Linked DNA regions of Rattus norvegicus. The protein of the gene in region 1 purifies or fractionates together with the protein of each later gene. This does not show direct contact. Links are inferred from orthologs where the notes say so. Each region holds a gene or a part of one and is shown in the gene's direction. Other genes may lie near its edges.

What was found.
Region 2: the proteins of Ankrd17 (region 1) and Hoxb6 purify together in Homo sapiens (co-immunoprecipitation; 3 studies listed by BioGRID and IntAct, with this or other methods). This does not show direct contact. The link is inferred for Rattus norvegicus from reciprocal best matches to the Homo sapiens genes ANKRD17 and HOXB6.

Annotation. Positions count from the first base shown.
Region 1 is NC_086032.1:18,007,311-18,011,909, forward strand, and holds the start of Ankrd17 (ankyrin repeat domain-containing protein 17), read left to right. Parts: upstream 1-1,548; 5' UTR 1,549-1,683; coding exon 1,684-2,031; intron 2,032-4,599.
Region 2 is NC_086028.1:81,759,952-81,764,437, forward strand, and holds Hoxb6 (homeobox protein Hox-B6), read left to right. Parts: upstream 1-1,519; 5' UTR 1,520-1,643; coding exon 1,644-2,058; intron 2,059-3,148; coding exon 3,149-3,408; 3' UTR 3,409-4,046; downstream 4,047-4,486. UniProt on the Homo sapiens protein: Sequence-specific transcription factor which is part of a developmental regulatory system that provides cells with specific positional identities on the anterior-posterior axis.

The DNA of each region.
Region 1 (4,599 bases):
ACCAAGATACATAATACAGTGTTCTGTACAATGTTGTATAGCGGAACTCAGCAAAAAGGCAGGCACTTTGTATATTTGCTATTGCACACAGTACACAGAGAAGCCCCTGGGAACACAGACTCTGATTTCATAGATCACACACACAGTAGGCACATAATGAATTTTTGCTTGAATGAATTGATTTAGTCATCACCAATTCTTCTGTGGTACTCTGTAGCGTACTGGCAACTGCCCACATTTCATATGGTATGCCAGTACTAAAAAGAAAATGCAAAAAATAAAAAAAAATCAGGCACTCAGCTAAACTTAGAAGTCTTAAAATGGCAACTCTGTCAGTTGAGGCACTTTTTTATCTTGTGCCAGTACATCTGTCTTTGATGTTTGCTTTATTTTCCTTATGCCACTACTCGTACTAGACCAGAAGTGGCTAATTCTGAGTTCAATAAGCTACATAAACATGACGTGGTGGTGTGCAGACCTAATATCATCTCAGGAAAATCGCCAGTTCAAGGCTAGCCTGAGCTACACTGTTTCAAGAAGAAAGCTACATTTCAATCTGTCTGCAAGTTCTCCAGGTACTTAAAATGATCTCAGAACCCAGACCCAGAAATGCATACAATGCTGGCACCGCTCCCCCATCCACCTCTTCGGAACCGTATGGTCTTAAACTTCACTACTCAATTCCTGCATATTACAAAGGTGTAAAAGTCAGGTTTAGGCAGTCCGAGACAACTCTGGCAAGAGTTTTATCAAGTGAGGACAGAATCGCTCCAAGGTACGGTTGAGGGGAAACAGTTTTCTTTTGGACCTGGCAGGAGTCTCTCTCTCTCCTTTCACGAAGTTTCTCTCCGGAGATCCAAAGCCCTCTGGCTTAGGCGGTGGAGAAAATGGCCAGGCAGGAAAGTCCGTCCAGGAGGTCCGGGGCGAGGCCCCACCTCCCGGATCTGGAGGCCAGGCCTCCTGCTCGCACAGCTGCCCCACGCTTCCGCGCTCGCCTCCCACTCAGCCCCGGCCCGCTGCTCTCCATCCCACTGCCCCCGCTTCCCTGCACCCCCGCACGCTCGTGGGGGACCCTACTCCGCGGCCCTGGAGTCTGCACTTTGGAGAAGCAGGCAGAGATCCTCGCGCGGCCGCCGGGGCGCCGGCTGATGGCGTCACTCGCGCTTCCGCCTGCGGCTGCGTTCTAATCAGAAGCCAGGAAGGAAGGAGGGAGGGCTGCAGGGCTGTGTGTGGGGGAAGTAACGCGGAGAAGACAAGCCATCCAGGCACTCGCTCGTTCGCTTGCTCGCCCGCCCGCCCTCCCGCGGCCCCTGCTTGCGGTCCCCGCTCAGACTCGGTTTCCCCAGGGAAGCCATTCTAGGCGCACTTCCCCAGCGGCTCCTTCCGGACGCCTGCTCCGCTTTCCCGGGCACGGCGTTCGCGCTCCGCCTCGCCCCCCCTCGCCCTCCCGCTCCCTCACTCCCTCCCTCTCTCCCTCCCATCGCCAAGCTCCCCGCCCTTAGTATCGCGAGACGAGGTGAGAGCTGGCGGAGCGGCGGCGGCGGCGGCAGTAGAGGTGACCGAGGCGGTGGCGGCGGCGGCGGCGGCCCGGAGCGCTGTGTCGGCCCCGGCGCGGCCGAAGTCGCGGTAGAGCGGAGCCCCCACGCCCCTCCCCCGTCCGCGTCCCCCCCTCTTCCCGCGGGGATGGAGAAGGCGACGGTTCCGGCGGCGGCTGAGGGAGAAGGGAGCCCCCCGGCGGCGGCGGCAGTGGCGGCCCCCCCCGCGGCGGCGGAGGTCGGCGGCGGGGCTCGCTCGGCCTCGTCTCCTCGTGGGATGGTGCGAGTCTGCGACCTGCTCCTGAAGAAGAAGCCACCGCAGCAGCCGCACCACAAGGCCAAGCGGAACCGGACTTGCCGACCCCCCAGCAGCAGCGAAAGCAGCAGCGACAGCGACAACAGCGGCGGCGGCGGAGGAGGAGGCGGCGGCGGCACCAGCAGCAACAACAGCGAGGAAGAGGAGGACGACGACGACGAGGAAGAGGAGGTTTCTGAGGCAAGGGCCTGGTTTCACCTCGAGGAGGGCGGAAGGGACCGTGAAGGGCCTAAGGTGGGAGGGGACTTGCGGTGGGACGGAGCCCTCGGGGGCTTAAGATCTGCCTTGGGGACCAGGCTTTCGCCTGCCCCCTTTCTTTGCTCGGCCTGGAGTCGTGAGGTGTGGGAATGTGGGGGAGGGTAGCTGACACGTGGGGGTGGGAGGACCAGAGAGTGCACGGAGTTGCTGAGGAGCTTGTTAGCCTAGGATGCTTCTTCACAGGGTTCAGGGCGGAGGGATTGGTTAGATTCCCGGGTGGCACTTTGGGGCAGGAGGGTGGTCTCTCCGGGGCCAGTACAGCCACCTCATTCCCGGGGCGGGGGCGGAGCTAAAGCGGGAGGGGTAAGATAATAGGTAGGAGAGTCTCTGGGGGACCCACTGCGAGGTTGGTAGTTTTCTGTCAGTGTAAGGTGGCGGCGGAGAGCGATTCTGGAGGGCTGGTAAGATTGTAATGGACTCGGAGCTAAGTATTTGTATCTGGGAGAGACACGTGAGAAGCTGTACTTTTCCATACTGTTTTCGCTGCAGGGCTTTTCTCTCTCTCTCTCTCTCTCTCTCTCTCTCTCTCTCTCTCTTTCTTCCCTTCTTTCTTTCTTTCTTTCAGCTTGTGGCTGAAGTGATCATCACTTACTCGATTTATGAAAGATTTTGGATGAGCCGATCTTACATCCATACGTATGCGTTTACAAATGGCTTAGTACATAAAAATTCTTGTTTGGTGCTCTACGCGTGTATGTAGTGCTTCATCAGGTTCTCCCTTAATAATCAAGCCAGGTCCCTCTTTTATTTAATTAATTAGTTAACCTTACTTATTTATTGTCAAGTAAGTAGGGAAGAAGCGTCTGCTTTGCACCCAGGTTTGATTGTGATTGGGACAGGGAGGCCTATGTCCTAGTGATCTGGTTTCATAACTCTTTATAGTTTTTCCTGGGTCTACAGACAGGCGGCGTTGTAGGACCTTATTCCTTTTAACCCAAAAGATTAATGAACCATACTGATAGCCAACTACGACCTACCAGTTGTTAGCTCTTTTAGAAGGAACCCTCCTGTCAATACTAGGAAATGGAAGCTTTAAACACCCTAAGATGGAGGAAATAATAATTTGGGGCAGCAGAGGAAAGAAGTTGTAAAAGTTGATTAAAACTTTGTTCTGGGAGAGAAGACTTAAGTGAATTATCCACAAGTACTGCTTGCCACTTACTTCCTTTCCTAAACCTAGAGCCCGGAAAAAGTCTGCTTTTGAGTTAATTTTCTTTTCTTCTTCCTTTCCAGGTTCTGTTTAAGTAGAGTCCTTGGAAAGGGACTTGAGGCTCACCTGTTAGCAATAAGACAAAAAAAGTGTTTTAAACCTAGATTAGATGAAGCTACATAGAAAAAGTTCTGAGTAGGACTGCATACCCCAAAGTTTATCCCTTCTGTTATTTCTGCTGTGGTGAATTTGTATGGGTAGTTTGTGCTTGCTTATTTATTGTTTGGGGGCAGCGTGTTGCTTGGGCTTCATTATAAGCAATGGAGACAAGGCTTAGTGTCTAGCAGGCCTAAGGCCCTAGACACCATTAAACAAACAAAAAGAGAAAATAAAACTTTAATATTGAAACAGTGATGAGAAAGATGTGATGGAGTCCTCTTCTGTTTTGATGCTTAGTATTAACCAGTTTTATAATTCTCAGAAGTGGGAAGGATTTTCCTCCTGCAGCTTAGGCTCTTTATTTTAAAACTAAGGACAGCAAGGTTTAAAGAAAACTAGTTGTGTCTGATAGCTGCAAAAGTAGACATCAAGGTTTTTAGAGACCCAGTGAGAGCTGTACATTTTGAAAGTGAATGGTTCATTTTGTCTCCCTTCTGACCTATTTCAAAAACTGGTGCTGGACTTGATGTTTAGCAGCTGTGAGGAAAACACCAGTAGCAAGGTTTTAAGTTTTCTAACATTAAGCTCTGGTTTGGAACAAAGTCATACACTTAGTGTCATACTTAAAAGAAGTATTCTGCTACAAACTGCACCTACCTAGGTAGTTTTGTCTATGGCCTAATAATTCCTTAAGTTGTAGATGGTTTGAAACCTGTAGGAATGTTAATTTTGTAGGTCTGAGTTTTTCATTTGAAATAAATATTGCTGTTTTGACTTTGACCAACTAAGACAATGTTGGTCCTTACTGTGCTTTGCACTGTCATCTGCACGGGTAAAGCAGTAGGTTTGTCAGTGTTGGGTGAAATACACGTAAGAAGACTGAGCCCTTGAGTATGTATGAGAAATGGGCAGGGTAGAAAGAAGTGGTTTCCTTCCGCACTGGCCCCATGCTCTGAGGGAGTGGGGGGTGAGCTCAGGGTGCTGTCTGCTCCACTTAAGCCAGGTGGGTGGGCGGGTTGTGCCACAGTTTCTTTTCTCTTTCACTGTCCTGACATGTCTTCAGAAGTTTAACTTCAGGACTTGGGAAATGTACTTTTTTCTGGTTGTTTTGTCCAAATTATTTTAGCCTACACAGTTTAATAATCTGATCCTTGAACTAATTCTCCAGTAAAAATCATCCA
Region 2 (4,486 bases), on another chromosome or scaffold:
TAGAAATATCCTGTGTCTCCAAGGTTGGGATCTGTCCTTATTTTCTTTGGATGAGAGAGGAAGAGAATATAGATATACTCGTCCGTTCCCAAGCTCTTAGAGCAGCTGAGAAGGTGATACAAACTTGAGGCACGGGAGGTGGTCTGCAGAGTATCTGAGAGACAGGAGGGTTTGTGAGTGTCTAGAGCTAGAGCAAGCATGCCAGTTTGGTGGTTGGAAGATGGTGACTGAGTCCCCAGGAGGACTTAGCAGCCTTCCCTCCTTATAAAACCAAATCTAAACCAAGTCTTGGGATGGGATTTCAAAGAGAATGACTAATTTAAGGAGAGAGCAGGAAAGAGAGAGAGAGAGAGAGAGAGAGAGAGAGAGAGAGAGAGAGAGAGAGAGCTCTCGGGCTCCAATATGAGGGTCTGAAACTTCAACATTTCTAAGACAATTTCTCCCAGTATCTAGATTTAGGGGCACGTCCTTGATTCTAAAAATCTGTAGCCAGGGATTATCGTCACATCATTTTGCACGAGAGATAAGATGGATGAGAGACCAAGTGAGGGCTGCAGGAAGAATAGAGATGCAGACAAGTAAAGTTCCCTAGGCTGGGGTTTCCCCTTCCTCCTTCACTCTTTATCAGCAAGTTTAGGGACTACTAATTTCTTTCTCCAGGGCCCCAGTCTCAGTCAAGACTGCAGTCAGGATGGCTGAGCTGTCTTGGGCGTAAGGATGTAAGGACGGCTTGCCAGAAGCAAGTGGCCTAGAGGAGCAGCCAGAGGGAGAAGCTGGGCTCACATACCCCTGGCATTTCCTTCTGGGTCTTCTATGCAGACGGATCTGGTTTGCCCTCCTCTAAGCTCGAGAATTGGGTTGAAGTCGTGATAGGATAAACCTAAGCTTAAAAGGGGGAGACAGACCTCATAAACAGTAAATGATTTTCCAAACCTGCGAAGGAGAGTGCTTCTTCTTTCCTTGTTTCTAAAATGAAGCAGAGAAGCGGACCCGTCCGTTCCTGAGCACCCCCCCCCACCTTACCAGCACAAAATTCTAGAAACAGACTTTCCCCCTTCATTCTCTCTCAACGAGATTCGAGGGCATTTACCCAGCTCTCCCTTGAGGGAACGGGCCCATGCCACGCAGGGGTTAACTTTTCTGAAAACACAATTAACTTTTCCCTATTCCTGCGTGGGGTGGGGGGAGGGTGTATTTATTTCATCACTGGGAAATGGGATGATCTCCATCTAACTGTTTCCTCCTCCCTCAAAAGCACAGACGTCTCTTTCGCAGATCCTACGTAGGTGGATCAGGGCGCGTTGTGGAGAGAGAGAGAGAGAGAGAGAGAGAGAGAGAGAGAGAGAGAGAGAGAGAGAGAGAGAGAGAGAGAGGAGGGGGAAAAGGTTGATAGGTTTGTGCGCGGGTCCCTCGTGCAGGCTGCGCTCCTCCTGGGTGCTATTTGACAATTCCTGCCTCTGCCATTGGTCAGTGTTGGATCAGATGGTTGTATTTCCTTCTGGCCCTCACTGGCACCTCGCCATCCCCCCTCAGCTAAAACCCAATCTCGGCTATACTACTAATAGGCGCGGCGCTCGGACTATAAAACACAACAAATCATAAACCCGGCGGAGCAGCAGCGGCCGCGCGCGCCTCCCCTCCCGATGAGTTCCTATTTCGTGAACTCCACCTTCCCCGTCACTCTGGCCAGCGGGCAGGAGTCCTTCCTGGGCCAGCTGCCGCTCTACTCGTCTGGCTATGCGGACCCGCTGCGGCACTATCCCGCGCCTTACGGGCCGGGACCCGGCCAGGACAAGGGCTTTGCGGCGTCCTCCTATTACCCACCAGCCGGCGGCGGCTATGGTCGGGCGGCGCCCTGTGACTATGGGCCGGCGCCTGCCTTCTACCGGGAGAAGGACGCGGCCTGCGCCCTCTCCGGCGCCGACGAGCCGCCCCCGTTCCACCCCGAGCCGCGCAAGTCCGACTGCGCACAGGACAAGAGCGTGTTCGGAGAGACCGAGGAGCAGAAGTGCTCCACGCCCGTCTACCCGTGGATGCAGCGCATGAATTCGTGCAACAGTGAGTGTGACTTCCCGCTGTCCCACGCAGGGGGGAGGGAGGTGCGGTGCAAACAGAAAGGCAAAACTAGCGAGTGTCAGCATCCTCTCACCCCAACTCTCCTACTGGGAACTAGATGGGCATCTCAGCAAATAGGGCAAGATTGGGCCCTGGCCTCCAGATCAGTCCTCCTGCCCGCAGAAGTTGCAAAGTTTGCAAAGTCCCAGCTGCACAGTAAGGCAGGGGGAGTAAGTGGGCTCTCTGAGAGAGGAGAGAGTCAGGCTAGGATTATTGATCAGGAAGAGGACAGGGGACTCAGTCTCTGATTTTGCTTTCCTCTATATTCTCCGGATATATTCCCTCTCTTGTCCGGATCTGCGGGGGGGGGGGTGTCCCGCACCCAAAGACCACTCCATTAAAAACAAGAGTGCGTCATGAAAGGGGAGGGGTAGCATGACGCCTGCAAGGGCGAGTTTACAGGGTCCTGGATTGTGTTTCCCTTGGGCTGGGGGAGGGGAACTGGGGACGGGGGTACTAGGGAGCTGTGAGACACTACCACAGGGGTAGTATAGTCTGAGGAAGGAAGAATGAGAAGGGACAGGCGGAGGGAGTGAGAAGAACAAACTGGCGCCTGGGTCTCACGTTGGTTTATTTGTTGGCTTCAAGTCCCAATTGATGTCCATTAGCACGACACGAAAGTGAGGAGCTGTTAATGCGGACTATGAATCGATCCGTGTCATTATGGATTAAGGGCCAGAATCTATCATCGAGTAGGGCAGGGAGAGCTGGATGAATGGAAAGAAGGGAAAGAAAAGATACAGCTCGTAGGAGACTCACCTGGCCAGCCCCTCCCCCAAGCTCAGGTGGGAGTCAAACTGCCCCTCCCCTCCCCCACCGAAAGTCTAGACAGAAAGAAAGCACAGCACAGGCCTCGGAGTCCAGGAGGGAATCTGGAGGGGGCGCTGGAGGAGTGGGAAACGGGGATCAGGGAATGGGAGGGGGAAAAGACAACTCCCGACCGGCTAGCTTTACGTTTGAGGGCCCAGTGGGGGAGGGGCTATGGGTTTGGTGTGGTGACCCCAGGCCTCAGTTTCTCCTCTCTGCGTAACAGGTTCCTCTTTTGGGCCCAGCGGTCGGCGAGGCCGCCAGACCTACACCCGCTACCAGACCCTGGAGCTGGAGAAGGAATTTCACTACAATCGCTACCTGACCCGCCGGCGGCGCATAGAGATCGCGCACGCCCTGTGCCTGACCGAGCGGCAGATCAAGATCTGGTTTCAGAACCGGCGCATGAAGTGGAAAAAGGAGAGCAAACTGCTCAGTGCGTCTCAGCTCAGTGCGGAGGAGGAGGAAGAAAAGCCGGCCGAGTGAAGGTGCTGCCAAGGGAGGGGGGACGCGAAGGGAGAGGTCTGAGGGGGAACCTAGGGCACCCGAAAGCCCCAGAAGGCTCTGCGGTCGGGGGACTTGCTGTCCAGCGCAAGACGGGCGGGGCCCAGCGCTTTCCTGGATGCCCCCCTCCTGCAGAGCTCTTCCTGGGCGCTTGAAGGATGCCCACCCCAGCACCCCAGCGCCTCCTCCCTCCCCGAAGAACCCACCTTGGCCTCAGCAGGCTCTCTGGTGAGAACTGAGAATCGGACTCACTTGATGTCTCCTGGAAGCAGAGCAGAATGCTCTTGTCCTTGTCGAGTCTCATTTCCTTCATGTCCCCCGTGCACGGTTCAATGGTAGATTCGCTGTCCCCTCAGCAGGGACCTGAAAGACTCCCTGACCCCAGACTTGTCTCTCCTACCCCCTCCCCAAAGCCACTGGAAGGAGCACATACTACCTAGAAGTAAGAAGAGGAGCCTCAGAAGAAAACAAAGTTCTATTTTATTAATTTTCTATGTGTTGTGTTTGTAGTCTTGTCTTAGCTCTGGACGTGAAATACTTCGGTAATAATATTAATATTATTAATAATGATTATGATGATGATGATGATAATAAAGATGTGAAAACCCGCAGCTCAATCACATCCAATCCTTCCCTGTCATTTTTCCCCCTCCATAGCCCCCAGCCACCCTGTCACCCCTGAGCCTGAACAGCAAAGGCAAGAACCATGGTCTGCCCCAGGGCCTCAATTCGGAAGTTACAGTTGAGATAAAAGTGAGGAGTCAAAAGCAGAGGCCAGCGATCGGTCCTCCCAGGCCCCAGCGTTGGTCGGGCCTCTCTGATGCTAAATTCACAATTGCCTCTCCCACTCAGAGGTGCGAGATGGAGAAAGCCTTTTTCCTCTTGTTCTCTAAGCTTGCCTTGGTTGTGAGACTCTGGAGGGATTCCACTTGAGGCCTCCTTGCCCAGAGCTCTGGAGAGACCGAGCTGGGCGGGTCTAGGCGCGCTCTGCAGAGATTTTTCTGTCCTCTTCGGAGCCAAGGCCCCTGGCCTTTGGCCCGCCCACATGGCTGTCTCTGCC